Linked DNA regions of Styela clava. The protein of the gene in region 4 purifies or fractionates together with the protein of the main gene of each other region. This does not show direct contact. Links are inferred from orthologs where the notes say so. Each region holds a gene or a part of one and is shown on either strand. Other genes may lie near its edges. The genes, in order: protein timeless homolog, serine/threonine-protein kinase ATR-like, cell cycle checkpoint control protein RAD9A-like and claspin-like.

Region 1 (8,391 bases), on a different chromosome or scaffold from region 4:
CATATATGGGATTATAAAACTGGACTATTAAGGCATTCTTGTAAACACGAACAAGGCGTCACAAAATTATGTTGGGAACCATCAAGTCGAGGTGGCTTTGTTGTATATACTGGTTGTTTAGATAACAAGTGCAGATCATGGGATGCACGAACTGGTCAACTCATCGATACATTTACTGGTCACAAAGGACATATTTATGATATTAAAATCTCACCTAATGGTGAAAAATTAATTTCTTCTTCTGAAGATGGAACTGTGAGGGTGTTCAAAGCAAAGTAAAATTTAAGCAATGATAAGATTAGGAAACATTAAGTTCATATGCAAAAATGAATAATATTTTGAGAGAAATAATAATCGTGAATGTTTACTAAAATATTTCACTTTTAATAGAGAAGTTTTAAAAATCAATTTATATTCAAAGACGGTTACCATAATCACTTATTTCCAAATTTGGAAAGTATAATTTACTTCCAAACTTTCCTCTATTTTTTTACAAATACCTTACAACTATAAGAGGCAGAAATCACCTTGGAAAAAATAATTTCAGTGTAGTATTGTTGATGTAGATGTCTTAAATTTATTATGTTGTATTTATTTATAGAGCACGTGTCAATGCCCAAAATTATAAATGAGAATTGTTTAGATTGGTATTTTATTTGGTAACCTTTGAAACATTATAATGAACACATATTTGGTTTGAATGTCAGATGTCCTCTAGTTGCTAACTTTAGTTGCAATGATGTGTTAAATTAAGTACAATTATCTGCTGCAATTGGTGTTGCTTTGGCTAAAACAATGGGGCTTTTACAAGTGTTTATCGGATATTTTGAATTTAAAGTAATGTGTAATTATGTACCGTAATTAATATTTTCAACTATTTTTGAAAACAGTTTTATCATGGTGTTTACCTAATCAAATTGCTATCTATAATAAATATAATGAACTTTTTTGTTTTAGTACTATTCAATAAAATAACGTGAATACAAGTGCATTCAAAATGAAAATTGATATACATAACCATATACTTCCAAAAGATTGGCCGAATTTGAAAGATAGATATGGGTATGGAGGCTTTATTCAGCTTCAACATACATGTGATGGTAAGACAGCAAAGATGTTGAAAGATGACGAGTTATTTAGAGTAATCAATGCAAATTGTTGGTCAGCCGAGGAACGAATGAAAGACATGGATGCTACGGGTGTTACAGTTCAGGCACTATCCACTGTTCCTGTGATGTTCAATTACTGGGCCAAACCAGAACATACCTTGGATTTTTCAAAAATAATCAATGATGATTTAGCTAGTACCGTTAAACAATATCCAAAGCGTTTTGCTGCTCTAGGCACATTGCCTATGCAAGCACCTGAACTGGCGCTTGGTGAAATGGAAAGATGCATGAAAGATCTGAAATTTAGTGGATTTGAAATTGGATCTCATATTAATGACTGGAATCTGGATGCTCAAGAATTAAGACCATTTTGGAAAAAGGCAGAGGAATTAGATGCTGCTATATTTGTTCATCCTTGGGACATGCAACTTGGTGGCAGGTATAAGAAATACTGGTTGCCGTGGCTTGTGGGAATGCCCGCGGAAACAACACTCGCAATACAGTGTATTTTATTTGGTGGCGTTCTCGAAGACTTTCCCAAGTTGAAAATATGTTTTGGTCATGGGGGCGGGTCATTTCCATATACATTAGGAAGGATTGAACATGGTTTCAATGTAAGACCAGATCTCTGTGCAACAGAAAATAAATTTGGACCGCGTAAATACATTGGGAATATTTTTACAGATAGTCTTGTACATGATGCTAATGCTTTAAAGTTTTTATTGGATGTTATGGGTGAGGATAATGTAATTCTTGGCTCAGATTATCCTTTTCCCCTGGGGGAACATCACCCTGGTAAATTGATTGAATCAACGAAATCTTTAAATTCTGAGACAAAGGAAAAGGTGCTGTTTAGGAATGCACTCAGATTCTTGAACTTGAATGAAAAAGATTATGTTTAAAGTCTTTAGGCCAGTATTTTGCTCATTGGTGTAAACTTAATTGGTATAATCTATTATGGTCGGATTTTGGATATGGTCTGTGCTTGTGTCTAGTCTAGTGGTGAAATTTTTTTGTATTTGTCCATTTTTATTTCGCATTGCAATATTTTTAATAGTGATTTCTTCAATAAGCTTTTTCGTATGCAATGAATTAATGAATATTTCGTACCTTGTGCAATTAATTTTCATTTCAAAAAATTTTGTGTAGTATATAGTACTGGTAAGGTGACAGCGTGAAAAAATCATGTATTGTTTTGTTTTTATTGTTCTAATCGTTTATTCGGTCATAGCTGTCAAGATAAGATGCCAAAAATTCATTGTGAAATCGTCTAGTTTCTTGCTTTCTTAGCTGAAGATTACACTAACATTGATTCTCTTTATCTCATGTGTATCTAGATTGCGGTATTATAGTTTTATTAAGTAAGCATATCGTTTGCTATAGCATATTCAAAATTATGGCTCAAACACAAAGTGCCTCTAGCTCAGCCGCCATAGGTGGTGATGAAGCATTGGAAGAGAGAGTGATAAATGAAGAATATAAAATATGGAAGAAAAACACTCCTTTTTTGTATGACCTTGTAATGACTCATGCCTTAGAATGGCCGAGTCTCACAGTTCAATGGTTGCCTGATGTCACCAGACCTGAGAATAAAGAATACACTGTACATCGTGTTATTCTTGGTACTCATACTACTGATGAACAGAATCATCTGATTATTGGTAGTGTACAACTTCCTACAGACGATGGGCATTTTGATACCTCAAACTATGATGGTGAAAGGGGTGAATTCGGTGGATTTGGATCTGTTGCTGGAAAAATTGAAATTGAGATTAAAATCAATCATGAAGGAGAAGTCAATAGAGCAAGGCACATGCCACAAAATCCTTGTGTAATTGCAACAAAAACTCCCTCCTGTGATGTCCTCATTTTTGACTATACCAAGCACCCCAGCAAGCCAAATCCTAATGGTGAAAGCTGCCCTGATCTTCGCTTAAAAGGGCATTTGAAAGAGGGTTATGGTTTGTCATGGAATAACCAAGTTGCTGGTCATTTGCTAAGTGCATCAGATGATCACACAGTTTGCCTTTGGGACGTCAATTCTGCACCTAAAGATAAAAAGACCCTTGATGCTAAGAGGATCTTCAGAGGCCATTCTGCTGTAGTTGAAGATGTAGCATGGCATTTATTGCATGAAAGTTTGTTTGGTTCCGTCGCTGATGATCAAAGTTTGATGATTTGGGACACAAGATCTACTAGTTCTGATAAACCAAGTCACACTGTCAGCGCTCATGCAGCTGAAGTCAACTGTCTTTCATTTAACCCATATAGTGAGTTCATCTTAGCAACTGGATCAGCTGATAAAACCGTCGCACTATGGGATTTGCGAAATCTAAAACTCAAGTTGCACTCATTTGACAGTCACAAGGATGAAATATTCCAAGTTCAATGGTCACCTCATACCGAAACGATACTTGCGTCGAGTGGAACAGACAGACGATTGAACGTTTGGGATCTCAGTAAAATTGGAGAAGAACAATCGAATGAAGATGCAGAGGACGGACCACCTGAATTGCTTTTTGTTCACGGCGGACATACTTCTAAAATATCAGACTTCTCTTGGAATCCAAATGAACCTTGGACAATTTGTTCAGTGTCAGAAGATAACATTATGCAAGTGTGGCAGATGGCTGAAAACATTTACAATGAAGATCAAGAGAACGGATCAGCTGGTGTTGAACTCAGTCAAGTTGAATCTTGAAACTATAATGTTACGTTACACAACATGACTTTGACCTAAAATATTTCAGCTTTGATGGATGAGCGTGAAATATCAACTTTAATACAGTGGCTAATGATAGTGAGCTTTTTACAGTCACTCTTGTAGGGATATTTCAACATGGCTATCAATCTTATGTCGACTGCTGTTATTTAAACTCTTCCCAAATTTTCACATTGAGGTAGACTGCCGCTTGCTGCAATTTTATAAGGAGTGTGAGGTGACGCGCGAGCATACTTTTTCTTGTTATTTTCAAATTTTGTTGATATTTTTGAAGTCAAGTATGTAGTCCAAAGATCAGAATTATCAATCAAACATACCAAACTTTTCTAAAAATGTGATGTTCCATTTACTAATACATTTGTTTGATTCGGTAGCGTAGTGACACTTATTTTATACTCTTGAGTATTCCTGTTTTTTATTATTGTTCTGTGATGTACAGGTCATTTCCTTTACCCATGGTCACGCCTATTTTAGGCAATATTTGAATATTATCTGTGCGATATTTAATGTGGGCAAAATGAACACAGTAGTTCAATATATTTTCCTGGAATTGCTTCTATTTTTTAAGTTTTCATCATATTTTTAAAATGGGCTCAAAAATTGGGGTTTAAAAATTTTCCCCATGATTACTGCAATCTTGTACCAATTAGAAAACAACTGAATTTACAGTATACCAAAAAGCACTGGATAATGGTATTTTGGATAGTTTGTTATTGGGCAATGCAAAGGGTTAAAAAAGATATGATATAAAAATGTTCCTTCATTTATAAAAATTAATTATTTGAGTTAAGTTGTTAAAAATGTTCATTTGAAGATCATACAAGTTTTACTGCTCTTGTACTATACCTGTAAACTGGGAGTGGTTAATGAAATTTGAACAACTAAATGTTGTAATTTCGTCCAACAATAGGATAAAACAACAAATGTTGTCCTTCAATATTAGTCCACGGGTTGTGCTGCTATCAGAGGTAAAAAAGTTCGGAACAGCTCGAATTGTTGAGACAACTGATTATTGGTTATTGAAATACAGGGTATTCATTAAGTCCTGTATAAGTTCAACTAGTAGGCGAATAATAAAGGTATATTCAATGAAATGAAAAAAACTTTTTAAAATGAAACAATCCTTTTTACAACAATATTGAGAACTATTTTTTTTGGATATTGTAACAGGACTTATTGAACACCCTGTATATCTGTGTTACATTAGCAAGTTTTTGTTTTATCTTAGTAATTCTTTAGCTGACGGACTATCATATTTCACATGCCTATTTGTTTACTATCTACCAAGCGATGTTATGATATTGCGGCCAGATTTTGTTGGTTTGGCATTCTTTTACAATACTGTCTTTATAATATCATGGGATTGTTTCTATTGATTGTATTTTGTGTCTCGCATAGTTGGTAGTGTATAGGTAATGCACAGATATAATGGATAGTGATCTTCTTGCCACTTGTAATGCTCTGGGTTACCTTGAAGATGACAGATATTTCAAAGAACCTGACTGCATAGGTAGGTGTGGTTACCTGTACTGTGTTTTTCAATTATGCTGAAAATGGTTACAAAATCCCTATATATTGCAATCATTAAATAACAAATATATATAATCCTCATATTTGAGCTGAGCTTGTGTTTTATTTCTTTAATAGTGTTAGGAAAATGTGTAGTATGCCATTACATGTCACGGGATGTTAGTGCTGCCTGTATGGAAATTGGCCTAAAAATGTCAGACTAATTGGGAGTGAAATATCCCCCATATTGCTAGTTTGTTACAATTTCTAAGGTTAATCATCCTCAGAAAAATTATTACCGGTGATCATATTCATACTTTAGGCATGATCATGTTTTAATAATATTTTTCTGGAAATACACTTGATATGCTTTTATTCAATTAGTAAACTAAGATGTCAGGCATCATTTTAAGACCTCTCGTAGTGTAGGCATTTGACGAGTGATTCTAGTGGTGCAAATGATACTGTGGGACATATGGTTTGAGTGGTATGTTTGGTGCATGTGGAACATGTGGTAAAATTGTTACAAGTGGAGCAAATGATACTGTGCTGATAGTGTCCAATTAAGTGGTGCATGGTGGTGCAAGTGTTATAAATGTACTGCAAGTGGTACAATTGGTGCAAACAGTGAGGACAATAGTCAACAGTAAATGGGTATTTGTTTTAATAGCGAACAATTTTTGTTTGGGATGTTCATAGTATCATTCCATTGCAGACACTGTGAAATGTCTCATAAGATTTCTACATTCGGAGGACAATAATCATGAAATTCGCATACAACTCGGAGCAGGGCACATTGTGCGAAATGACCTTCTTCCTATTCTACGTCAATACCCAGATGATGATGCATTATGTGCTGCTGTACTAAGGTAAAGCTTTTAACTACTAATAAGGGATGCTTTAATGATTTACAGATTTATTTTCAAAATTTAATTCTGACTGATTTTCGACTTAAAATCTCAAATTTTTCTGTGTTGTCCAATGCAAATCAGAATTGTGGAATCGGGGTAAATTTACAATCAACTCCAGTTCCATAGTTGCATAAAAAAATGGACTCAAGACTCTAGCTCCCCACTCCTATTTCTTGATAATTTCAACTGAAGATCTGAAATCCCATGGAAATAAAATTTGATAATGAAAGCTTTTGGGTATGCAAACTTTTTTATGGCTGTTAGAAATGCTTTGATCAAAAATTTTTATTTTCGAGTTCCTGTAAAAATATATTTACTCTGATCATCACCATGAAGAGTCTGTTATTTTGGCAAACACCAAGGAATTCAACCTCCCAACTTCGGGGTGCTCGAAAATATAAGTTTGCGTTAAAGAAAATATGTCAGATTACTCCACTGCCTTGATTTATTTCCTGGAACTTTTTTGATTTTTACAACGTTTCTTAGTTATAGTTTTCACTTTTTGCTTTTACTTCGTTAGAAATTCTCTTATTATAGGCTGTTGGTGAATCTTACTCAACCAGCTCTGTTGTGTTATGGTAACAAAATTCCAACAGAAATTGATCAATATCACAATTATCTGGATATTCTCTCTCACAGTCAGGAATATAAAGAGGTGGGTACTCGTGAGATGTTATTCCAGAAGCTGAATAAAGAATGTCTAATAATTTTGGGCTTTAGGTGTTTCTACTGGATTGGGGCAGCAAATTATCATATTTATCAATTTTCAAGGGATTAAATTAGTTTGATTAGTCCAATTAGTCCATTTTAAGACTTATTTATGACAATTTTCTATTTGAATGATGAAAACATGTTTCTATGCATATTAGATAAAAAATTCACATCTTTTGTGAAGTCTTATTCTAAATGTATTTATGCATAAGAATTTTTCAAATGACGAAACATGGAAAGTGCTGGCACAAAAAGTTTACGATATTCTTGAAAAAGATTGGGAGGACAGATCACCGGATGATTCAATCACTGTTGAACGTATTCTTGTATTATGTCGCAATTTGCTGCATGTTCCTCCAACCACTGAAGATGACAATCAGACTGCTGACAATATGTCTACACATGATAGACTTGTAATGTATGAATACAGTAAATAATGCTTCTTGGGAGTAACTTTAATGCAACCGATGTGCTTGCATATTCTCGCACAAAAGTTCTCCATGAACTAAAATAAAAATGAAAGTAGAATTCAATAATACAGTGGCAATTTAAAAAAAACTGAAAAATTGAGAGTACCTTTAATGCGACCGATGTACTTGAAATGTTTTACCACCTTTTAATTAATATCTCAAAGATGTTGGCTGATTCATTTTTCTTATTTTTTTTTATAAATTTATTATCAAAAGTTATTTTCAGAGCATTACATACATCTGGGATTGATTCAATGGTCTTATACTTGGCCAGTTCAACAACAGAACAACAATGGTGTTTACATGTTGCTGAGATTATTTCACTACTGCTCAAAGAACAGGTAAGCAATCATCGTATTTATTGGATCTAGACATTAACATAATTTGTAATATTGGAATATTGTCTTTTACCTGCGGTGCCATCACAAAGTTCAAGACCTATAGCTTCTAGGGCCTAGAGTGGGGCAATGGCCTAGAATCTAGGCCATTGCCCCACTAAATCGGTTTATTACAACAATTTTAGAATGTAGATGCTCTGATTGGAATGAATAATGCTCAAGAACGTGAGAGACAGGGAGATGAGTTAAAACAATTAAGATTACAAGAAGAAAAAAGGAGACAGATGAGAAAATTGCAGCAAAGTTCAAGGTTGGAATTTTTAAGCATCTTATTTTTTACATGATTTAACATATGATTATACATACCATGATTTTTCTCGAAAAAAATGAATCAGGAAAAAATTGTGCCAAACATTTCTGGATTTGTTGTCTATAAAACTATGATACTTATGTTTCTTTGAATCAAATACCTTTATTTTTGTCTTCTACCTTTAAATTTACTAACAATTCAGAATGGAGCACTATTGAAAAAAAAAATGCTTCACAGCTAAAGAATTACCGTAAATTTACTATAAGAGAACCGCTCCGTGGCTCCATTGTGGAATCGAGGGCCCAGTTTGA
Region 2 (8,696 bases), on a different chromosome or scaffold from region 4:
GAATTTTCTAAAGTTGCGAACAATAAAAACTTCTGAACGTCATAAATAAGTGACATGAAATATAACACATAACAACAAAAGCACAGTGCACGTGGAATGATAGGTCGTCTCGGCGGCTCCTAAATCAGATTTCCGCTACCTCTACTTATAAGGCACAAACAACATTATCAAGGTAGAATGTTCAGTAACCATGACACGGGCATTACAAATTATTAAAATTTATGAATACTTGAATTCATAATGAAAATGATATGAGTTGTGACAAATGCAATATTTTGATTTCATACATTTAAGAAATGTCCAACGAAAGCTAACTGAATCCAAATAATATTGATGTCAAAATTAATTGAATGTAAATATGCCGGCGATTTTCATTTCTAGTTTTGTTCTTCAAAATCTATAGTTGAAGTGAATCATCAAATATACGAACGGATATTGCTCACAAAATGCAAACATACCTCAAATATTGATTGTAGCTGCAACCGGTGGTATATAGGAATAAGATACACTATGGCAGTCAATGCGGCAAAGATAATTCCAACGGCAATAAGTATATGGGCCGTTCCGACAAGGTACACCTCCGCCGGTATTCCAACCAATGAAAAAGATGACATGTATGTGACACACATCGACAGTCCCACAATGATCTAACATGGAGCATAAAAATATAATTATTCGGCATTGGATTTCTATACGTTGAAAAGTGTTTATGTTGGGTTAGCACGAATTAACTGCACATTTTTCATTTCACCTGTACTTGTAGGCCCTATTATAAATAATATACTATTAATACAGTTGGCTAACGGGTTATCGCGAATGCATCGGTTTGACTTTCACAAAATTTGGACTGCACATTTTCCATTTTACCTGTACTTGTATTATATATATATAATACTATCAATACAGTTGCCTAACAATAAATTCAAAGTTATTAAGATCATATCGGAAACGAGTTTCTTTCATTTTGAGGGATGCACGGTGTCACCTATTGACTAAAATGAATGAGTGATTCGCTAGATGAAAAGACATGATTTAAAATGAGTAAGACTGCGTGGCAGTTGGAGTTCAAACTTCATTATCAATACAATTCATTTGGTAGAAAAATATAAATGCATCGAGTATTACTGAAGAATAAAAGAGAATAATGATCATACAGGATTCGATTTTTTTCCAGCAAAGTAGTAGTTGGCAGTTGTGTTGTTTTTTCTATCTCTGAACGCGAAGAAAACGCCAATGAAAGTGGATAGAGCAAGAAAAACTGAAAAACAAAAATATTATTAGTGTGTACGATTCCCTGCTGCCAAAAGGAAATTTCTAGTCTTTTTTCTTGCAAAAATGTTATGAAAAAACATGGGTAATATCTGTTTGGCGTAAATTCATCAAAAGTTTGAAACTCACAAATTATTCATTGCTGAAGAAACTTGTTTTGCCGTTAAAGAGGCATTTCGACCAAAAGTGCAATATTTTGGTTTGAAAATTACATAATTATTAGCAATTCAAATAATGTTTTTTATAAGTAATTTCATGAAAAAATACATGCTAAGGTTATTCATGAATTCCTCCACATGGACTAATATGGTTGTGTCTAATAGTAAAGTTACTCACTTGCAAAAACTGTAAAATCCACCGCACCAAACCATTTCTTCGCATTATCAGTTGAATCCATAATGTTACGTGTTATTCGTCCAAGCTTTGATTTAAAAAATTATATATCTGTCGCCCTATAGAAATATATATATATATATGAAAGCACGTCTCATAAAACGTAATAAAATGCTGGCGGAAGAACCTCTTGATTGGCACGATGAACGTCTGTCTGCTGCACAGTTTTGTTTGGGTTATCCTCATCAATCACCTAAAGCTAGACACATCGAAGGTGATGAGTGCACTACAATAAACATGCGCAGGCAGTAACAGAGAGTTGCAATAAAATGTTGGTCCTTACAGATAATAAATGCGCGAGGTAGGCTACATCAGTACCGTACTGTACGTGCTGTCGAATTGGGATACTCAACATTATTTTAATGACAATATCTCAATATATATATGCTTCATCACAAAATCCACATCAGATAAATATCTAAAAGATACCATCATTATATGTACATATGTATATAATTATGATTTTTGCGTAATATATTGCTCTGGAATAGATTCTACTACGAGTCATCTAAAATAATCACAATTGCAAAAATTTAATCCGTCGTATTGACGACATAATCAGATATTTAATACTTCAATTACCAAAGTTTAATTTGGCAGCAACTTCTCTATCTTCGTATGTGATTAAATTTCTAATATATATATACATCAACCAGAGATCTACAATAATCTAAACTAAGGATAATGGCCCACTCTTTTCCTCATCAAGCATTCGTTTATTGAAATGTGTTCTCGAATGAAGGATAAACAGTACTCCCATTTGCGGCACTGATTCCATTCTAATATTGGGGACAAGTGGTAATTAAATGCCATCATTAATCAAACGAAACTAGTTAACTACACTATGAAGGAATCGGGATTTCTTTCTTTTGAATTTCTTGTTGAGCAAGACAGCGGACGTCCGGACTAAAGGCAATAGTTAATGCTAATTGCTATTATATCCCATATTTTTCACTTTAAAACCCATGTATTTCGACGATTTGCAACTGGTTTTGTTCATAAACTTATTCCAACTCAGATGTTGTGAGCAGTGAAGTCATCTGTCACGTAAGTTTATGCATTGATTCACAGATGCGCAAGTTACGGTAACTCTTTAAAACTGCGTTTTCATTGATTATAATTTGTGTTTGTCGTCGAAGCACGTTCATGTCATATTTTTGTCATGTATTTCAATTGATATCTTGTCTAAGCTTAGTTACCGTCAGAGAGCGACAAACGATTCGGCTTGCAAATTTTAGGGTATAAAAACATTTGCAACCAATACACAGTCAACTCTATCATGCGATCAATCTGCGACTAATATTCTGTGAAGGAAAGCTTATAATTGGATTGAGCCTGGAACTCATTGATTTTATTATTTGTTCACAATGCATGAAGTAGGTTGGTAAGCTCACCTTACGTGCCAATTAATTTAGCTTTCATTAATTCAAACTTTGAATATAAAAATAAAATCCTGGCAAATAGTCTAAAATTTTACATAATAAACCGCAGAATCAAATCACGAAGTTTATACTGAGGCGATGTTAATGAATAACATCTCTTATATATATATAGACTACCGTATTTGCCGTTAAACTTTTCATTTTTCTAATGTATTGCCTGGCAACGAACAGGCAGTCGGAACCTATATTTACAAATGTCTTGGAACTACGCCATACATTAATTATTTTTGTGAATTCTCACGGAAGCTCGTATTTACCGAGTTCATCGCTTAAAAATTCGTCTTTATTTTTACGAGTCCTCTCAAATAATCCCAAGTGCAAAAATTTAGTTCGTCGTAATGACGACATAATCAGGGAGCCCGTTTAATACTTCAAATATCAAAGTTTAATTTGGCAGCAACTTCTCTATATTCGTATGTGTTTAAATTTCCAATACATTACCTAGAGATATGCAGAAGATTTATTTTTAACGATATCACACCTATTAACTATAACGATATTAGTATTTGAAAATCTTAGGTTTCAAATTTTCGCACATTGTTCGTCATTTTTTATATTTACCCATTTTTTACATGTGTCTTTAAACAATACCAATGCGTAAAAGATGATGTTTGTTCGTAGCCCTATTACTAGTTTGCGAAATTAACTCGTCAGATTGTCGCAACACCGATTACTGCACCTTACACAATCAGCAACAGAAATGGAATGGATACTTTGTGTGTGAGACACGGTGTTTTCAAATTTGATATTTTTTGTTTACAGATTCGTTTGAATTATTAGATATCATTTTTCGAGTTCGGTATTCAGTTCTGCTATTTTAACGATCAATGGCGCGGTTGATGATTATCTAGTTTTATAGCACGAGATTCGATGAACCCTTTGACGAACAACCATCGTGTTTCGTATTGAAATCTGATTCTTTTGTTTACGGCATATTTCTTTAACTAAAATTTGTGTTGAATTCAAGAAAGTTATAAAAAAACATTCGACTTATAAACATTAAAAGTAAAACAAACAATAAAAAAATAACCAAAAAAGTTATATGAAATACTGCATAAGAACAAGAGAGCGATGCTAAAATATAAGGACACGAAAGCCAAAGTGAAGCCGACTTTAGCGTAGCATGAGGTAGGTCGCAGAACCCCCACAAATATTTTTTAATCACTTTGAAGAGGTCATCACATAAAATATCGAAGTGAAAAACGAATCACATAGATCCCACGGAATATTTGGAAATAATTAAAAATGATATCCTCCTAGCAAAAAGTAGAATCTTCAACCACTGAGAATTTCAAAGTAATTGGTTCAGTAGTTCAGGAGAAAAGTGATTTTTTTCCATGACAATAAGGAGATAAATACCAACAACAACAACATAATGACAAGACGATCCATGTTTACATTTCGTGTCCAATAACGAAAGCAGTCGGGTATGAAAGCTGAAGTTATCAATTATTCAAGTAAATAATTAAAGCAAGTCGCGTTGCGCTTACACGTTAGTTCTATTTATTTTCTTTTCAAGTTGAATATTAACCAACCAGTTAGGCACGGCTATATTTACGATGAATCGCAGTGGAGATTGGCTCACTCTTACACCTCCAGGCGGTCATTTCCTTATGTTTTGCAAGGAATCGTTCATGCGTAAATAGTGGCGGCATTGGGCTAAGTTTTTAATTAAAGGTGACAGTGAATTCTTAGTTTAGGATATGTATGTATGTTTATTCGTCTCGTAAAAGCAATATAAAAGAATTAGTAATTATAAATACTGAAGACGGGATGGATGCACAAGACCATACTGGCCTAAAACACGAATGTGCGGCATAGTCTACACCCCTTTTGATTATAATACAGTACCGGTAATACTGTAATAAGGTAAATCAAATAGACTATGTATAATATGGTCCTTTATACAGACAGAGACAGTTGTGCAAGGAGGGTGGGTGGGAGTGGTAACAGGGGTAAGGGTGGAGTATACAAAACTGTTTGTACAAAGGAGTTTGTATAACAAAACAACATCTACCGTATAACTGTATAAATAGAGACACAACACAACATGAAACACACTGCATGTAGGGTGGTGTAGCCAGTCTGCGGACGATTTCATTCAAACCGCTATAAAACAAAAACCAATATTTCTAACTCGTTAATTTTTTCACCGTAGGTGCATTGGCATTTATTCCACACGCTGAACTTCGAATTAACTTTCTACGACCAGGGGTTAAAGTTATACAAACCACCAAAGTATGACACTCTGAAGACGTTTTTGCGACCGAACGACCAGTGTGCGATCACGGATTTTAAGCCTTGAACATCGTTTCTGCTGCGTCGAGACTAGGGCATACGGTACGCAGCCATGCGTGAAAAAATGGGCTTCTAATTGCATTTCTGACCGTCATATATTTTAAGAACACGGGTATTTCGAACAAAATTCTTCAAATTATAAACAAAGCACCGCATCACAGCAATCAAACTGACAAAAACATGGTGGTCGCAAATTAGTTGACAAAGATATTATTGAAGTATTGGAAATGCGCACCCCCCTACTCCCCCTCCTTTGAATGTAGAAACGCGAAACTTTAAAGATGGTTAAAAGAAACACAACTCTACCCACCTGCCAAGTTTCATCTCTTTATCTCTTATATTTGTTTGGATTTTCAAGCTTTTTTGAAGGAACAATGGGTAGTTGGCGACATGGTAAAATGGTCCGTTTTTTTTTCTTCGGTCAGGTTTTCGGTCGTAACTTTTTTATTTGTGGCCGCATTTTAGTGTAATTTCGCAGAGCTACGAGGGATAAGTGGACGATAACGCGTGAGAAATATCGTCGCGGTTCGTTAATTTTTTCGGCATTAATTTAATCGATGAAGTTGATGGTCGCAGATAGGTCATGGCCGCAAAGTGGGTAAGTCACCCTAAATATAGTAATTAGTTACTATAAGTACAATACCATTGAGTGATGGTACCACATAGACTAATGCTAAGTTAAACATTTGCGACATATGAATGTATCGATGGGGCATTATATTAATTTGAATCTTGTTTTTCACTGATTTGCGGCGTATGATTACATCGATGCGGCATGATATTAAATTATTTTGCTAATTTTATTCTTGTTTTTCCGATCTATTTTTGTATAAATTACGCATTTTGCGACATATGAATCTCTCTTTGCGTCATTAGATTGTATTATTGCTTTATAAACTTATTCATCCAATGCTGCATCGAGGCATTAAATTTACTGTTTATTGATTGTAGGTGTACGAAAGAACATAAAATATGATATATGGTGTTATCAAAATGTAATTTTTATTATCTCTGATCCATTTATTATTGTTAACACGCCATCCTATTTACATTGAAAATGAGAGAAACACGCCAAGCCAAGGTTTGCGTCGAGGAACGGCCGATGCGTGCCTGCGTGCATCGATTGAAATTCAGTCATGGCACACGCCGCCGATCGTTTTTTGCTTATTTCTCTCAATCGCTTCGGTAAAATTTTTTCTCCTTTGGTGGATCTGATTATTTGTTTCCGAGGAATTCAATGGTGATGGTCTAAGCTTGGCGCTTATTTTTAGTTCAATACGCAACTTCGTTTTACTGTATCTTTACCGATATGGAGAGAATTAGCCGCCATACGTCTCTCGAGGAAGGGGCTTCGATTTCTATTTAAAATAGGATTCTCTGAAACGTGTTGATATTACGCGATACAAATACCGAAACATACGATACAGCGCGTAGCATTCTCTAGTCTTTTCAAGCAGACATGTCCGCACCCGACAAGAGTCTGAATGGAATAATATGGTGAAAGCAGAAAAGCCAATGAGACCCACCGTACTGACTCCCTGACCAGCAGACTCCAGTCTGTACAGTGTTATGGCAGTATGGTGCTGCATTTCAATATTCCAGTATTCTATTATGCCGTTATGGTATTGCCAAACTGCCAAATGATCTGTCTGTCTTGCATCATATTAATAATATTAAATTTTTGTCGGTAAATTATTTCAATACTGTAATAACTGAATCATATATAACTTTTGAACATGGGAACGTCTCTATTTTCAACATAATTAACGACTGAACGATTGGATATAAAGTGTGAAACTATTGAATCAGCAAATGGAACTGGGGAATACTGGAGTAGGCATTGATTATGGTAATGAGTTTAGTCTTGGGATTTTGACTTGATTTTGACATATCTCAATATCTTCGACAACTTTGGAGCTAGAAAGTTTGGAAGCGTATGAAATACTCGTCATTCATATTGTATAAACTCAAGATTCTTCATTCATTCATTAATTTGTTTATTTTCCATCTTGAATAATGGCTGCTATCGGAGAAATTCTGAGTAGCATTGTAGCAGATTATGAAAATATTTCAAGGTATGTACTAATGTTATATTTTCTCGAAAATTCAGAATTTGGTTAGGAGATATTCTCATGGATAGGTTAAATGTAGTGAATAATGGTTTGCTGGACAGCTACACTGCATTGGATTGTATGAAATATCTCAACATTATAACCAAATGCATAATTTTATCTATTTACAGTCTTGATAAATACTGATAGAGAAAAAGAATTAAAACCTTACCTGCCATGTAGTAGCGGCATCTTTTCAAATGATCTAGTCCTATTTTTTATTTGATTTTGATTTTTTTCAATATTCATCTATCAAATTCACAAAATGATGGCATGAAAAATTTGCTTGCTAATATCCATTCCATATCCTGATATTGATACAAAATTCGAATCTTGTCAAAATTAGATTTACCCATATCGGCCATATCAAAAATGCAATATTTAAACGCATTGCGAAGCCTTATCAAAGAAAACATCTCATTCGAAGTAGCCAATTGTGAAACATTCATTGTCCTTAATTAGGCTTTCTGAATTCAGGAAGTTTTTTTCTACTTTTCTTTGTACATATTTATTCATCGAATTATTGTCGTCCACAGTTTGCCTCCAGAACAACTTGTAACAAAATGTGTGAAGATTCGTGAAAGTTTGAAGATGATTATTCATCATCATTTGACAGATGTTAATTCAATTTTTAAAGAACTTGAAAAAGCAAAGGGAAAAACTTCCCAAGTAAATTATTAGTATGCTTGAATTATTATGTATACAGTCTAATACATGTCGTTGTCATATTCAGGGAACTTAAATAAATTTTAATGAAATACATCCGAAACGAATAGGCCCAACTGTTATTATCCTTATAGCCAACATGGACGGACAATAGGCTGATAAGTTGTCATATGATATGACCGAGGTGTGTAATAATAGTGGATAGTGAGTTAATAATTATAACAAAAGCAGAGCTTAGAAACATCTCAAAGTTTAGATTTTAGTACGATAGCCCAGTTATTTTTTACTGCTGTATTTGTTTTTTGTTTGTTCATTTTTTGATCCAAACCTGCTTTGTCTAGGTTAGTTTTTCTATTTGTATTTCTGCATTGTTGGTTGATCAAGGTGAGTGAAGGAGATTTTTTTGTTTTATACTTCTTCACAAGTTAGCTTGCTGACCAGAATTTTTATCTATTTGTATCTATTCATCTTCTTATTTGTATGTGAAGTTGTAAGAGGTATTTCTATTTATTGAAGT
Region 3 (7,900 bases), on a different chromosome or scaffold from region 4:
GACTTGAATGAAGACGATCATATGGCAAACCAGGGCATCTTCAGATGCATGAACTTATGGCAAACAAACCTACGACAGCGAGTAGTCCAACAATCCCATCGCACTTCCACTGCTAGAATAATTCATCCAGTGATGTCGAATAGGCATCACATGTTTAGGCTGTGAGGCGAGGCCCTGAAAACGCCTAGAAAGTGGGTTTCGTAGCGCACATCTGGGGACTATATGAATCATTTAGTTTTGTATGAAAATGAACATATTGAACGCATTACAGCATATTCCCAATAACGAAAGTAGCAAATTATCTGCAAAACATGCTTTAAAAATCTTGATGCAAAAATTGGATATTAGGGGATTTCCCGAAAATCAATACCCATAGGTTCACAACGACACAGCATGAAAAGTTTCTACCATTTTATAGAAGCCATCAAACGCCTCAATTTTATGCGATGAAGTCACAAATTAACACCGTGAGCACAAAACACAAGAAAATCGGGTAAAATCCTGATGCGAAATTGGGGACTCCTCGGAAAATCAATAACCATAGGTTTACAACAACACAGCATAAGAACTATGCAATTCAAGAGCCCTGCTGCACACTAACACAAATGTATTTATGTAACGTTTCGTTTGACCGTAAATAAATAACAGACAAAATATCACTATATTACATTTGACACACAGACAACTTTTCTGGTCTGCATTATACAATACTGAGAAATAAAACACCATTGTGTAATTTGGACTTCAATTGCTAAATATAAAACAAAGAGAGAGATCTCATCAATGACACTTATTTCGGCCACCCGCTGTTATTTAATCAAGAAATTCACAGATTTTATTGATTATTTAACATGCGTGACTCCTATAATTCTACTATGATTGTTTAAATATGCATGTAACTGCTTTTCGTGTTGTAGTTGAATTATGTATGTCTGAAGAAGTCTGACCTTGGTCAGACGAAACGTTACAGAAATATATTTGTGTTAGTGTGCAGCAAGACTCTTGAATCACTTAGGATTGTTATCTCTACTCTTGCTACAGCATCCTTGCAATATATGCATACGGATCCACCGGCACAAAAACATAGAGGAAGATTAAGTAGTTAGTTTCGCAGAAACCAAATAATTAACAAGAGAGCTGTGCTCAAATATTTGAACACGTCACAAGGTATCGCTATTTTTTTATTCTGACACATAAAAAACGAATCTCTTGATATACACTGAAATTTTTGAAATAAGTAAAAGTAATAGCCTTCTGGCAAAAAAAATCAATCTTTAACCATTGAAAATTTCAAAGCAATTGGTTCAGTATTCGAAGAAAAAAGCGATTTCATCATGACGAAAGAGAATAATAATAACAACAACAACAAAAACAACAACAACAACACAATATTGAAACGATTGTTATGTACACTGACGTGTCCAAAACCCTATCCATGGTCAACAGGTGGGGGGATAATTGGCTTTAATTCTAGAGCATGTGTTGGAAACCTTTTTGGTCAAGAGAGCCATAAAAGGTACATACTTTCAACTGAATTTCCGTGCGAGCCATATAGCATTTCTTCACTTAATCAGGCCCGAAATTTTTACTCAAAAGTCAACACACACAATGTCAATATATATATTTAATGTGACTTCTGATGCTGCATGTTGTCGCCGCGTTGAAGTTGAAATCTACGATACTCATCACCCTACTTTCGTTTAGGCATCTCCTTAGTATTTAAAAAACTAGCTTTGCTAGTCCGATTTAAATATGACAAATAGGCTGTAACTACCGTGTTTCACCAAAAATAAGACTGGGTCTTATTTCAATTTTCTTCCGAAAAATAACACTAGGGCTTATTTTCGGGGGATGTCCTATATTTTTATTTATCAAAAACTGAATTACAAAGTAGAGAATCACGAAATTTTCAAATATACAGAATATGAATTAGAGGTAAGATCGGACCCCAAAATTCCAGCCCGACCCGAACCGGCCCCGTGGGTATTGAATTCGCAGGCCCGATCGGAACCCGCCTAATTAACTGGATATGCAGGCCCGACCCGACCTGAGCCGGGTATGGTAAAGTATAGAAGGAATATTTTTGGAATTTAAAGGTCGGGGAAAAGTCCATTACAGCGTCTTCTCTGTTTTATTTAAACTATTTTTTTTTATAACAAGTAGGCTATTCTTTTGTTTAGTATCCACACATAGTTTTTTTTTATAAACATATATTTATTTAAAAAAAAGTCAGCGATAGAGAAGCCCGACCCGACCTGAACGTAATGATTGACATTTCAGGCCCGACCCGAACGTAATGATTGGCATTTCAGGCTCGACCCGACCCAGCTCGAACGTAATGATTAATATTTGAGGCCCGACCCGACGGGTCACAAACTATATTCCAAAATCCCTTAATTTCGTCACAATGCCAGTCTGGTAATTCTCTTAGATGACATAGACATGCGCTGGGCGCGCGTTCTCGAACGTATTAGCAAATTTTCTGCCAAATTTGGCTATAAATAGTTTGAAATCTCGTAACAAAAGTAAGCTTAGCTTTAGAATACTATATTTTTCTGGGAGCCATATGTCGTCACAAAAAAAAAACCCATAAATGGCTCGCGAGCCATGGATTCCCGACCTCTCTATCTAGAGTAGACAACAGTGATGAATTCCTGCCTGGTAATTTGCCCTCAGAACATGTTTCTTTAGTGAATCATTGTTGAGAGGAAGAGTATAATCCACATGTTTTCCAGTTTTAAAAAAGACGTGTTCTTGGTATCATTTACATTCTTACCATCTTATATTGGAACATATCAAAATTATTTCCAAGTAGTCCCCTTATGTGCGCTACGAAACTGAAAGATGAACGGCCTCGTCTCGCGGCCTAGTTTGTACCAAAGTGAACTTTGGTTTGTACAATCTAGATAGCGAATACCCCACAGATTACTACCAGGCTACTACTATCAACCAAATGAGCATGCTCATTGTATCACGACACATAAATTAATCATGCAGTATCGAAGGAAATTTCTGGGGTCAAGGGTTGCGTAGCCATCAATTCTAGTAATCAGGGGACGGACTAAAAGTAGGCACTTGCAAATTAGGCACTTTTTTAGGCACTTATTTAGGCACTTTGAAAAAAAAATAAAAAGGGCGTAATACCTTTTAAAAAACATAATTAATTAGTTAAAAATGGTCAAATTAAATGTTAAAAACGCAAATTGCAACGGGCAAACTCAATAGCAATATGCAAAACGCAGTATTAATGGCAGTCGCACGCGCTTGGTCACCACATATGCTAGGCACATACTTAGGCACTTCGAAAAATAAATAAAAATAAATAATCAGTGAATATTTGAGTTCATGAGCATGAGTTTATCTCCACTAGACTAGAATCTAGATTATAGTACTGGTACATAGGATAACCTAAGAAGTGTTAATACTGTAATAATGAGATGCCGTAAAAGCGCCTAACTTCGGACAGTTCCTAACTTCGGACAAAATTTTTGAACGGCCATATCTTGGCTAAAACGCGCCGTATATTGCTAATTTTAATTATTATAGGTTGCGCTGTTATATCTACATCTATTCTCATCTTTTTTAATGTTGCATAATTATTTTTTTGGTAAAAAAACGGAAATTTTGCCGAAAATTGACTGCCCGGCATTCAACGGCGCAGAGCGTCGCTCCTACTCAAGCTATCATCGTCAAAATACCATCATTCGGTAGAGGGCGACAACAATGTATATAATTTATTTGAGTGATCGCAAGATGTCGTACGAGATTTAAATAAAACCTAAAATTCTGAATTATAAATTCCGTAAGAATATTAAGATTTCACGCAGCGTCAAAAATTACGTCAACCTCACGTAGATTATTTTTCGCTCACTTCCGACACGACGTCACACTTCGTCGCGGAAATGAATTTTGACGCCAGACACAACGGAGCCAATATGACAATTTCCGTTAAGATAAAGACGGCGTTCCAATGTAATATTTTTGTATTTTGTTCGGTCATGTATGAATATATGCCAAAATTACATTAATGAAAATACATGTCACACTTAATCGATAACGTTAAGAATCGAATATATAAAACTATGATAATTCCAACGTCCATATGGCACAGTGCACTGACTTAACCATTATTTTATGATTAGTAGTCGAAATGACAGTTATTGAATACGGCCTGGGTGAATTTTATTCACTCGAAATTAAAAATAAATTTAATCTCCAACAAATAAACGGGACCTACATGTTTACAAGATTAAATTGAATTTTAAATTAAACTTTACAATCGGATTTACCGCGTGTTTGATATAAATTATCATTTATAAAGATAACCGCGCAGAATAAAAAAAGCTATCCGTCGGGAATAATTAATACTTCAATAACTTCGATAGAAGCCCGTTAAAATACTTTATTGTGGATTGAAACGGTTTGCATCAGATATATTTACGTATCATTTCCTGATTAAAATGACTAACGTGTTATTATACTCATCTGAAATATGGAAAATAACGAACGAAAGATGTAAACATAGGACGACGGAAGTTTCAAATAATGAATTTTCGTCGTGACGTCAATGTTACGTTACGACGACGAACGAGCGTCTTATCTTCACGCAACGACGTGATTACGTCATCCGCATCGGAAGCCTCCTTCTCTCTGTGCGTCGCGGTTACGCAGTGAAGAAAATGACTGTCCGAAGTTAGGGCAGTGAAGGATAACGGTCAGATGGCAAGAAATATCGATTATTTCAATAGTAAAAATAGTCCAATTGAACCGAAATTTGCAGGGAATGTAAATTACCACACGAATGTTTTACCGAGCCATTTTGGCACCGTTTGGACAATAAATGGCCGAGTTATTGACGAAAGTATAGTAATTTTGTCCGAAGTTAGGCGCTTTTACGGTGATATCTGGATATAGCCTAAATCCTGAAATCTGCAAATGTATAAGATCATGTTTCAGCTGGCCTACCTCGTTTGTCTGCACTACAGCACTGTCTATATCTAGACCCTGTGTTTGATACTTTTACTTTAGCACAATCACAAGCATATAAACATACCGGTAACAGCATAATGCAGTAATGAAACAGATTTCTGGATTTGCAAACTCCTGAGCTAGGCAATAATTGTTACAAAGTTACTTGTGTACCGGTACTTCGTCGTCCCTTCACGCTACGGTCATGTCTGTCTTACCAGAATTAATTATTTATTGCAGGCTTCATATAAGTTGTCACCTGCTTTTAAATGTTGCAGATTAATCAGCAAAAATGAAGTATCTTATTCCTGCAAATCATGTGAAGTGTTTCGCGAGATCAATACACTGTTTATCTCGTCTTGGGAGTGAGATTTACTTCGACTGCACGGAGATAGATGTCCAGCTTAAAACGTTAAATGCTTCAAGGTCAACATTTGCATCTTTTGTCTTTCCGAGTGTCTTTTTTGAAGAATTTGAACCAGTTATAGAAGACGAAGAAGAAAATCAGTTTCTTCGCTGCAAAATATCAGTTAAAACATTTCTGCAAGTGTTCCGTTCAATAGCGTTTATTGAACGCTCTGTTGAAACTTGTGAGATAAAATTATCTGATAATTTAAGTCAGTTAATATTTACTTTGAACTGTAAGCATGCAGTTGTCAAAACTTATCAGCTAAATTTTGAAGAATGTGAAAGCTTAAAAGCTGTTTATACAAAGGATTTGTCTCCTAATAAACTCACTGCGTCTTCTAAGTTGTTACAAGATGTTTTTGCTAATTTTCCTACCTCGTTAGATGAAATTACGTTATCTGTAACACCATGCAAAGTTTCATTGTCAAGCTTTGCAGATGAGGACGAGGTTGGAAAAATTATGTCGACGGAAATGAACTTAAGTCCTAAAGAATTTAGTTATTTTCAAATCGGTATCGATTCATGCGTATCATTCTGTCTAAAAGATATTCGCTCCATCTTGACATTTGCGGAATCCTGTGGTTCAGAATGTAAAATGAACTTTGAATACGGAGGAAAACCATTTGTTTTGGAATTATCACAAGAGGAAATTTTTACGGCAAATTTTGTTTTAGCAACAATATCTGGTGATTTAGAAAGCCAGCAGCCATCGACTTCAGTTCTAACAGAAACAACGAATAATAATCACTGGAGTGAGCGAACAAATGCAAATGAAAGTAGAATACAACCAACTAAAACTGTGTCTAAAAAAGCTTCTAAAATTAGCGCACATGGAAGGGTCAATAATCACGAAGAAGTTGAACATGAAATCACTAATAACATATCCAATCATCAACAATCATTTTTGCTTGGAAAAGATGACACAATAGTTCATGTTAATGCCATATTTTTCTCAGGTTCAGGGAAGAACCAAGTTACTGCCGTGGATAATACAGTTTTAGCAGCGGATTCTGATGACGAATCATGATGTTGTTTTTTGTTGGGACGCTTTCCTTACAATATAAATTGTTTATTAGAACATACTGTACATTACAGGGTGGCCCACCCCCCAAAAAAAACCATGGTCATTTGGCACAATTCTAGAGATAACATGATTTTAGTACAAAGTGTCCTAGAATATACATTTCCTCTCCCCCGGGATAAATATGTAAATCCTATCCTTTCTTCATTTTTGTAGAAGTGAAAAAATGTTTTTTTTAATCACCCAGTAAAGTGGTCTAATCGAGCCTAAAATGTGTAATGTAGTTGGTAGTTCCTATATTTAGCTATGAAAAAATTTTTTACATATCAATTTATCGTTATGGCAATGCTTTTTCCTTAGATCTTTTTTAATGGATTTTCACACTTTTACAGGCTTGAATATTGTTTTTCTTTAATCATAATTTAAACCAATATTATAGTCTCTTAAATTGATTGATTTCATCCCAAATCTGGTTCGTTTCCCAAGGGTTATTAGGCTAGTGAAAATTCATCAAATTGTTCGCCAGAAACGCCTGTAAAGTAGACATCTAAAATTGTCATTTAATTCAGTTTCATTACTGAGTACTAAGCTACATCCGAGAGCCCTCTTCCTGGAAATATGAATATGTTTGTATTTTTATACCTGTTTATTGCTCAGCCAGTTGGCTGCTATGTTTCTTTCTTTTTTCACGTGCTATTTTTATTGTTCATTTCTACACACTGCGCCATTTTATTACATATTTTATAAATAAAAATATCAAAATGTTGTTGTTCAGTTTACTTTAGCGTCCAGTGGAAAATGAATCCATGATATGCATATACAGCATATCACAGGATAGCATTAGTATGAATTAATACTAAAATTGTGCAAAACCTGATGACGCCCTGCCTTTCTGTCTGGCCTGTACTGTGTAGTCAGGCTTTTCAAGGTTCAAATTTTGAAAGGTTAGAGTCTTCTCGGAGCTTCACAACACCATAAGTTGTTAATAGGATTACAACAAAGTTCTTTGTGCTATTTCCAGCTTTTCTGGGGTGCGGGTGTAGTAAATTAACTAAAGATGTGAAGTTGGGGGGTGTTTCAAACCCAGGTATGAAACCCACTCTCCTGACAATAGGCTTGACTTCCACATTGGCTTCAAACTAGGTATAAGATCGGGCCCAAAAATTCCAGCCTGACCCGGGCCCATGGGTATAAGACCAGACTAATTAACTGGATTTGCAGGCCCGAAATTTCATGTTTTGTTTAAGAAGAATATAATCAGAGGTCGGGGAAAGGTCCATTACAGCTTTTCTGTTCATTCAAATTATTTCTTTCATAACAAGTATTTCCTGGTTTAGTATCCACACATGGTTTTATTTTTTAAGAACATATATTTATTTAAAAAAAAAAGTCAGCGATAGAGAAGCTCAACCCGAATGTAATGATTTACATCTCAGTCCCAACCTGACCCGAATTGTCGGGCTCGGGCTTCAGATCTTAGCTCTACATCCTACAGAAAACCAA
Region 4 (8,565 bases):
CTGCATGATAATATACGTTATTTTCTCTGCAAAATCCGAGAGTGGTACTACATCTCAGTCAGTCAGAAATGAACCAAATAAGTGCTGGAATCTAAACCAAGTTTGGGTGTTTAAAAATTTGGAGACGGCATTGTTTCATTTTTTCTCATTCTTTATTGATATTATTTTTTGTGCATACTAATTCAACTTGTATTCTAATAGCAAAACTGACATATGCTCAACATGTATATTTACTTAAAGTAATTGTTAAGGTATTTTAGTTATCATGCGCCAACCTCTATCATCGAAAGGTTTTTTATACATTCCTCCCTACATAACTTTCTTCGCCACAGGGAAATTGGTGAATCATGTTACTGCATCATGCCTATAGTATCACATAAGCAACTAAGTTATTCTTACGATACATGCATTCACATATGATTTAACTAGAAGAAAGGAATTGGCGCCCCTGCTTACAGACGGTCTTGGAGCACATCTTTGCAGACAATTGCTAAGTGGAATGAACCGATTAAATCGATGTTAATTTATATGCAATAATATCAACCTAATTAATACATTACCTTGTTAATCAATAATAATTGTCGTATAATCTTCAAAATTATTTTCTTTCTTGCATTCGCCGTCAGGTTATTGGTCTGAAAATTTAACTCCCTGGACAAATGAGAATACTCTATATAGCATAACAGCTACTCAAAAAAGCTTATAACTTTCTAAATCGAGCACATTTTCTTGTTTGCATACTAAAATAAGACATATCTCGTACATCGTTAGATTTCAATGCGGTAAATGCGACATATTGCCAATCATTTTATACCAATATTATTACTGGACAATATATAAATAGGAATTGTTTTGGTATTCTGTTCGTATTAGAATTATTTTTTTATTAGTATATATATATTATCCAAACAATCAAAACCTTTATGATGAAAACTATCCTGTATTTTCTACACGGTTACCATTATTGCCATCAGACTTTTTACTTGAATAGGAGATAAAATAGGAAGTGAAGGATTCTTGAGAGTAGTTTCAGTACCTTCAAAATATTTGAAAACTATTAGAAAGATGCTCTAATCTAATGTATATAAACAAAGGATATACAATGTTAGCATATGACATAAAATAGTGCTTCTACGAATTAAAAGAAAATAGCATAAGTTTGGTCGAAATATTGGCTCCCACTGGGCTCTTAGGTTGTTTTCACAATGACATATAATCATATAAATGCAAATTTTCGTGACAATGAATAAAAAATCGTTTTGAGGTCAAAGGAGGCACGGAAACATAGGAATACTAAAATAAAATTTTATTGAATGAAACATAACAGCCAATGGCGGCGCGTGGTCATTTTGACAACCGGGGCAAGCTACTGCGGGACCAAGTCACCCCATCCACGGGGACAGGATGAGCGCTGTAAGTTCTCCCATCATTTTATGAGTATAAAAACCATTCCATCGGTAACAACCAATCGGCAAAGGGCGACAATTTTTAACAATAAGAAAGTGTCTTTAAAACCGGTCCAATTCAAGGGATTAATAAATTTAGACATAGTTTATTTTGAAACCTCTTTCAAAAGGAAAGGCAATATTTACCCAGATAAATACAATGACATATTAACAGAAACTTCGGAAAAGCAGACAAAACCTAAAATAAGGTTTAAAACGTTACTATTAAGAAGGGAAAAATAATGTAAAGATAAGGACATGCGTCGCTCACTCATAGATATATATGCTGCTAGACTTCTACTGCTTGAACATATATGCAACACGCCGCGGTTTCTTGGAAGCAAAATGCTTAATAACGCGCTGATTAAAGTCATGCATCCCAGAAATAACGTCTCTGTGAATGGATAAAACAGCCAAGAAATTTAATCTATCTTGCTTCATTGTGTTTATGAGATACGTTTCAATACGCTTCAACGTGCTGAATGTTCGCTCTGCGTCGGCGGACGAAATAGGCGTCGTCAAAATGATGTCCAGAAATTTTGCAGACGCCGCAAAGGTAGTTACTAGAGTGTTATCTATGAGAAACCCATAGATCGCGCAAGTTGATGTGATGTTCAAAAAAGTTTGATTGGTGTATATACATCGCAATTCATTTTCCAATTTACCCACGTTTATCATGGGGTAAAATTTGGAGACAGTAGCCAACAAATGGATGGGAAATTGACGTGCAATTTTTGAAAAATTTTTGGGGTTCATCAAAGAGAACGCGGCAAGGTGTTCAGTGCGCAGACGATCGCCTATTTGATTCACCAGAATGTCACAGCATTCCTTTGCAGACAAAATCAAACGCTGCGTTGTTTGCCCGCGGCGTAAAGAAGCACTCCATGTGTCGTCGTATTTTATTGTTTCCCGGATACGAGATACAGCATCGCAGAAGTCTGAAATACACGACTGCACAGACGCTCCATCCATTAGCCTTGACTGCAATGCGCCGTATAATACATCCACGTGATAGAATATTGTGGAGAAAAAAGCGAGAAAAAATTAAAACTCACCATCTTCTAGCAGACGCTTTAGACCTGCCGCCTCCCTCACAGAGCGTTCGTCCCAAACCGGAGAGCTCTGAATGCCATTGAAACACTCAATGACTCAGACCTAATTTCGAACACGCCCTGCACCACGCGTGATTGGAAGTTCCAACGTGTTGGTGCACAAGCTGGAAGACGGCGGCTACATATCTGGCGAAGGAGGTCAGAGCGCTTCGGCGAAACGAAAAAAAATGAAGAAAACCCCGAAACATTTGCAAAAAATATACGGACGAGAGGGATATCAAGACACATATTTTCAATAACGAGGTTAAATTGGTGTGCATAACAATGTAAAAAATGCGCATGAGGAAAATCTTCTTTTATATAAACTTGAACACCATGTTTCGACCCACTCATGACTGCCGCGCCGTCATAAGTTTGAGCTATCAATTTTGACTTCGCGTTGTAAGGCTGTAACACTTCTTTCAGTACAGCCGATATCCCGCAAGCCGTGCGATCAACGATTGGTACAAAGCTGTGAAATCTCTCGGTAGGTTTACCATCTTTCACAAACCGAAAAATCACAGCCAGTTGGGAAACGCACGTGATGTCAGTTGTCACGTCAGACTGAATCGAAAGGAACTGGCAATTCTCAATTTCCAAAGCCAAATGTTGTAAATAAATTTTATACATTGAGTCGAGCAAATCATTTTGGATATCCTTAGATGTCCCTTTCGAAACAGTTGCGGCATCAAGATGATCTCTCAATACTGTATCTAGGGATGCGGTGTATTCCACCATATCCAAAAATACCCCTCTATTAGAAGAGCCAGCCAGTTCATAGTGCCCACGGAGGGACAGCTCGTGACAACCAATGAACTTCTAAACATCTATCAATCGACCGAGAACATGGCGGTTTTTCTCGACGTTTTGGTTGTGCCGACGAATAGAAACCGCGCGTCCTTCATCCAACTGTGCTGCAATATTAACATTTCTCAATGTTCGGTATTTTACTGCATTGTCCAGATGCTCCATAGAAGATTGATGATCCCTGGCACGCTCGGAAAGATGTTTAAGATATCTAAAACCAAATTTACACCAACGTGAGTCACGGGCGGTAGTCGTCCCGTCGACGTTCGGCGAAGGCTTTGCGAGCGAAAAATGAAACATATCGGGAGAATATGGCTAATGTAGACAGTCTGTGCAACCGATATTGAGGTATTTTTCGAATATTTTTTATTATACCGAAAAAACAACCGGGGCATTGCCCCGGTTGGCCCTATTGACGCGCCGCCACTGATAAAAGCACATATTTCCACAAGTAAATTATTCGCAGTAACTTAATGTTGTTAGCTAGTTAGAAAATTGTGGTGACCGTGGGCACAAATGATCATGAGAGAAAATATGTGGATGTGTCAATGTAAATTACCACAAGCACAAATATTTACGAGGGCACAAATATAAGCAGGTTCAAATTTTATAGATGCTGGTTTATGCGATGAGGCTCTTGCCAAACTTTGAACTGAGATGATTTCATGAAACCGATTTGCAGAAATCAGTGAAGAAATCAGTGTTAATGATTGAAATCTGAGAGATGACCATCGAGAGAAAAAGAGAAACTGAGGCAGATAAAAGAGCATGTGAAAAAAAATGAAAAAAGAATCGTCCTATTATGAATGGGAAATAAAAAATCAAGGGTGCGATAAGAGTGATATCGAGTTGACCAGTGGCGAGAGAGGAGCGATAGAGAAAGAGAGAAAGAGCAAGCGAAAACCAGGCACGGGGAATGAGTGGGTCTATTGAAAAGCCGGAAAGGGAGTATAATAATGAAATCAAAATCATTGTGCGAAAATTGAGTAGGCTAAGTCATGTAGGAGACAGGAAATAGCGGGGTTTTGTCCGCATCACCGAAACAAACAGCATAAAGCAATAATATTAATTGGTGGACGGGCCAAACCACAAAGATTTTCGGTCTAGAAACTACAAAGGTTTTTTCATGGGAGTGAATAACATTTTTATACGCAGTGAGATGATATCAGCAGATAATGGCTGATGTTTTTGAAATGGATAAGTAAGATATTATGTTGTCATAACACGTAAAATATCTCAGGTTCTGATGTATTAACAAACCATTATCTCTTTTGTTATCAGTCGCTTCTTATCTAGGGTTGTTCTTGCTATAGCAATAGCTCAAAATAAATCGTGATAATGCTGAGATATATATTGTCAATACACGAATAATCAGTAAACGGATTTTCAAATAACGTTGTTTTAGGGCAAGGTGGACTTTTTGTGTTTTCGTGTCAATATGACCCATATTTATCCACTTCGGGATTGTTGAGTACCGGTACTCTTCGCATTTAGGATAGGATTTACATATTTATCCTGGGGGAGGGGAAAACCGATAAGACGGCTTAATCAATAGAGATCCACGGTCTCTCGTCCGGTTACCAGTCCAGGTTGGGTACGGGATTAGTTAGCCAGGTATGTGTTTTCGGAAGCATGGACTTGATGGTCGAGGAAGCCGTAACCGACCAGCGGTTACGTAAATCACCCTACGGCGGCGAGGAGTCTAGTAATCCTCTCGTACATGATCATCCCCGCATGGGATTCGAACCTGCGAACCCACGAAGGATAATCAGAGATGCGGGGGCCAGCGTATTCCTAACGCTTAGCCCGATGCGCCACACCGCCGAGCCATTTTGTCAGACGATGTTTGGCTCTTTGCACAGACGAAACCCAGGATGGCAGAAAAATAGGACGAAAAAAAACAAGAACAACAACATAATAATTACATAACTATCCATGAGCCTAATTCGTGTCCAAAATTTGAAATCGAATGCTTCCCAAGGGAATAATGCATAATCGTTGTAGCGAAATTATTTTCCGCTCTCAGCAACTGTCAATCATTTAGTAAACAGCGGGAAAATTCAGTTTCGGATATTCATTGCTCGTCGATACGCGTTTGCAAGTTGAATGGCCTGCCTATGAGTTTGTTCGGTTGAATCATTGATAATTTTCTGCATTCTTCATATTTGATTCGTCCAATACAGTAATATGAGCCAGTGTGTTGGCGTGGAAGTTATATCTAAAGCTTCGGAGGTAGGATGGAGTGGTACGGTACCGGTACCGGTAACCGGTATGTAGCCTAGTTTACGTTAGAACTCTAAGGTACCTACCCTACTGACTTAAGGGTCAGAGGGTCTAACGAAGTAAACGCCGTAACACAGTATCGCCGTATCGGTACAGCAGTAACTGCTTAAATCACGCCAAACAAAAATTTGATGCCAAATTTTTATGTTTTTTTTAAAATTCATCTGGCGGCGAATGTCTGAATGTGTACGCGTTTAGTTAAAATCAAATCCACTTCTGTACCGTACCGTACCCGGTACTCAATTTAAAACTAAGCTGGTACCGGTATGTCCCATGCCAAATTGGGTACGGTACGGCTGTACGGTACCGTACAGGTACTGGTATAGAGTTACATGCAACAGCATCTGAGCATGGCTCAGTGGATGCGGTATCATTTCTCTCATCACCAAAATCTGAAAATTGTACTCTTCACATAATCAAATAATTACAGCATTTTCTTTTGTTCTTCTTTTTTTACATTTTCAATATTTTTAGAAATTTTCTCTTCCTTCCTCAAGTGATGAAGATGAACCCATTGTTATGAAAAGAAGAAAAAAAAAGACAAGTAAAGTTGAATTATTATCTGTTTAAGTTCATTGTTTACAAGCCAGTTCCAGGAATGTCTCAAGTGAACAAAATATAGGGTGGTGCAGCCAGCCTGTGGACGATTTCATTCAAATAGCTATAAAATAAAAGCCAATATTTCTAATTCGTTAATTCTTTCACCGTAGGTGCATTGGCATTTATTCTACACGCTACAACTCGAATTAATGTTCTACAACCAAGGGGTTAAAGCTATACAAACCACCAAAGTACGACACTCAGAAGATGTATTTGCGACTGAACGACCAGTGTGCGAGCACAGATTTCGAGCCTTGATCATCGTTTCTGCTGCGACGAGACTTCCACATACGCAGCCATGCGTAATAAAATTGGTCTTTTAATTGCATTTCTGACCGTCATATATTTCAAGAACACAGTTGTTTCGAACACAACCCGTCAAATTACAAACAAAGCATCGCATCGCAGCAATCAAACACACAAAAACATGGTGGTTGCAAATTTGTCAACGAATTTATTATTACCGACCTATTAGAAATGCGCACCCCCCACATTCCTCCTTCTGGAAATGTAGAAACGCGAAAATTTGAAGATGGTTAAAAGAAACACAACTCTACCCACATGCCAAGTTTCATCTTTTTATCTCCTATACTTCTATGGATTTTCAACCTTTCCTGCAGGGACAATAGGTTGTTGGCGACATGAGCAAACAGTTCGTTTTTTTTTTCCTCGGTCGTGTTTTCGGTCGTAAGTTCGTTGTTTGTGGCCGCATTTTAGCGTAATTTCACAGGGCTACGAGGGACGATAGTGGAAGGAAGTGGACGATACCACATGAGAAATATCGTCGCGGTTCGTTGATTTTTTCGGCAATAATTAAATTGACGAGTTTGATGGCCGCAAATAGGTCGTGGCCGCAAAGTGGCTGAGCCACCCTATGTTTTACTTTGAAATTAATTGCTTTCTATGATCAGTTTTGTTCCAAAATATTATTTTAAGCAATTGAAGTCAAATAGTATGACCAAGTATGATCAATTTCTGAAAACCTTTTTAACAACTTGATTCAACATTTTAAAAATATATCTTAATAATATTCTAGCTCGTTCCCCTTTTAACATCACAACTGAGAACATTATCTCATATATGTGTGACTTTGATTCGCATTTTTCAATTGAAAATTCTCATTAAAATATATTGTTTACTTTCTGTTCATTATAGTTTTACAAAAATATTAATACATGCTTACTTACTCATTGCACTGCTTCAATGTGTATATTAGTATTATTAAGATAAATTTAAATTTATCTTGTGATATTTGATCACTTTTTTCTCAGAATTTAAATCATCGCCTAATCCTGAACATTCATATGAGGATGAAAGGGTAGAAGAACAAAGTGAGTGCTAATACTATTTCATAATGCATATTTAATTTATAACTGTACTGGGCTGATCCTTCAACCGTTGTGGGCCCAAGGGCCTATGGATGTTTCGCTGAGCATCAACTTCTTTGTTTATTTCTGTGAGAATGACCAATCAGCAAAAAGTAAATGATGACTTAACAATGGCAATTTTTGCAGCCGCTTAAATACTTCGTTCGCCCAGACAGATATCCAAGCATGGTTGTAAACATTGCCTCGTTTCTGTGATTTTGCGTGTCAGATTTCAGTTGTGTTCCCAAAAATTAGTTGTGAATGAAGTAATTTAATTCTCATTATGTCTTCCGATGAAATTAGTTTAGTTGCAGCGAAAGACATGAATAGTAGTAAGTAACCCCTTTTGCTGGGTTATATCTTATTTCATACTATTTTGTTATCTATTGGGTTATGTCAAGTAAGCCTGCTCATGTGATTTTCTTGACGTAATTATCATATTTTGTATTGATTTACGAGGTTTAATAATTACAACTATTTCATATTACTTTTCAAGAATCTTCTGGAAAAAAGAAGAAATCGCGAAGAATTCAGATGGAAGATTCAGATTCTGATAATGATTCTGTAAATATGAACAAAGACATTGAGTCTAGTGAGCGAACAGTTGAAAATAATGAGAAAATTATAGACTGCAATAATGGAATTATTTCCAAAAAAGATCATAATGTCGATATTGAAACTCATCGTAATACACTAAATACAGATGATGACTCGGCAGAAAGTGATGTAGAGTCGACAAAAAGTGATGATTTGACCGAAAATGCCCTTGATGAACTAAAGATCGATAGCGAATCAATAAAAGATGAAGATGAAATTCCAATTTCCGAAATTGATGAAACTCACAATGAAGAGGCAAAAGTTGACAATGACTCACCAGAAAGTGATATTGAATCTGACAGTTCTAGCGATGATGACGCTCCACCATTACGATTATTTAGAAATAAAAATCCAACAAGTGTCACTGAAAGCCGA

The links.
Region 1: the proteins of claspin-like (region 4) and protein timeless homolog purify together in Homo sapiens (affinity purification with western blotting; 4 studies listed by BioGRID). This does not show direct contact. The link is inferred for Styela clava from reciprocal best matches to the Homo sapiens genes CLSPN and TIMELESS.
Region 2: the proteins of claspin-like (region 4) and serine/threonine-protein kinase ATR-like purify together in Homo sapiens (affinity purification with western blotting; 3 studies listed by BioGRID). This does not show direct contact. The link is inferred for Styela clava from reciprocal best matches to the Homo sapiens genes CLSPN and ATR.
Region 3: the proteins of claspin-like (region 4) and cell cycle checkpoint control protein RAD9A-like purify together in Homo sapiens (affinity purification with western blotting; 3 studies listed by BioGRID and IntAct, with this or other methods). This does not show direct contact. The link is inferred for Styela clava from reciprocal best matches to the Homo sapiens genes CLSPN and RAD9A.

What each region holds. Positions count from the first base shown.
Region 1 is NC_135252.1:12,595,652-12,604,042, reverse strand, and holds the start of protein timeless homolog, read left to right. Parts: upstream 1-5,218; 5' UTR 5,219-5,259; coding exon 5,260-5,341; intron 5,342-6,055; coding exon 6,056-6,209; intron 6,210-6,788; coding exon 6,789-6,906; intron 6,907-7,174; coding exon 7,175-7,380; intron 7,381-7,658; coding exon 7,659-7,773; intron 7,774-7,955; coding exon 7,956-8,080; intron 8,081-8,391. Other genes in the region: angio-associated migratory cell protein-like, read left to right, coding at 1-279; 2-amino-3-carboxymuconate-6-semialdehyde decarboxylase-like, read left to right, coding at 998-2,011. UniProt on the Homo sapiens protein: Plays an important role in the control of DNA replication, maintenance of replication fork stability, maintenance of genome stability throughout normal DNA replication, DNA repair and in the regulation of the circadian clock.
Region 2 is NC_135260.1:13,861,761-13,870,456, forward strand, and holds the start of serine/threonine-protein kinase ATR-like, read left to right. Parts: upstream 1-5,044; 5' UTR 5,045-7,418; coding exon 7,419-7,477; intron 7,478-8,049; coding exon 8,050-8,182; intron 8,183-8,252; exon of another isoform or gene 8,253-8,354; coding exon of another isoform or gene 8,355-8,363; intron 8,364-8,696. Other genes in the region: sodium-coupled monocarboxylate transporter 2-like, read right to left, coding at 459-647, 1,155-1,258, 1,606-1,666. UniProt on the Homo sapiens protein: Serine/threonine protein kinase which activates checkpoint signaling upon genotoxic stresses such as ionizing radiation (IR), ultraviolet light (UV), or DNA replication stalling, thereby acting as a DNA damage sensor.
Region 3 is NC_135250.1:10,169,668-10,177,567, forward strand, and holds cell cycle checkpoint control protein RAD9A-like, read left to right. Parts: upstream 1-5,178; 5' UTR 5,179-5,260; coding exon 5,261-6,403; 3' UTR 6,404-7,166; downstream 7,167-7,900. UniProt on the Homo sapiens protein: Component of the 9-1-1 cell-cycle checkpoint response complex that plays a major role in DNA repair. The 9-1-1 complex is recruited to DNA lesion upon damage by the RAD17-replication factor C (RFC) clamp loader complex.
Region 4 is NC_135262.1:14,187,446-14,196,010, reverse strand, and holds the start of claspin-like, read left to right. Parts: upstream 1-5,397; 5' UTR 5,398-5,530; coding exon 5,531-5,575; intron 5,576-6,100; coding exon 6,101-6,170; intron 6,171-7,497; coding exon 7,498-7,557; intron 7,558-8,089; coding exon 8,090-8,565.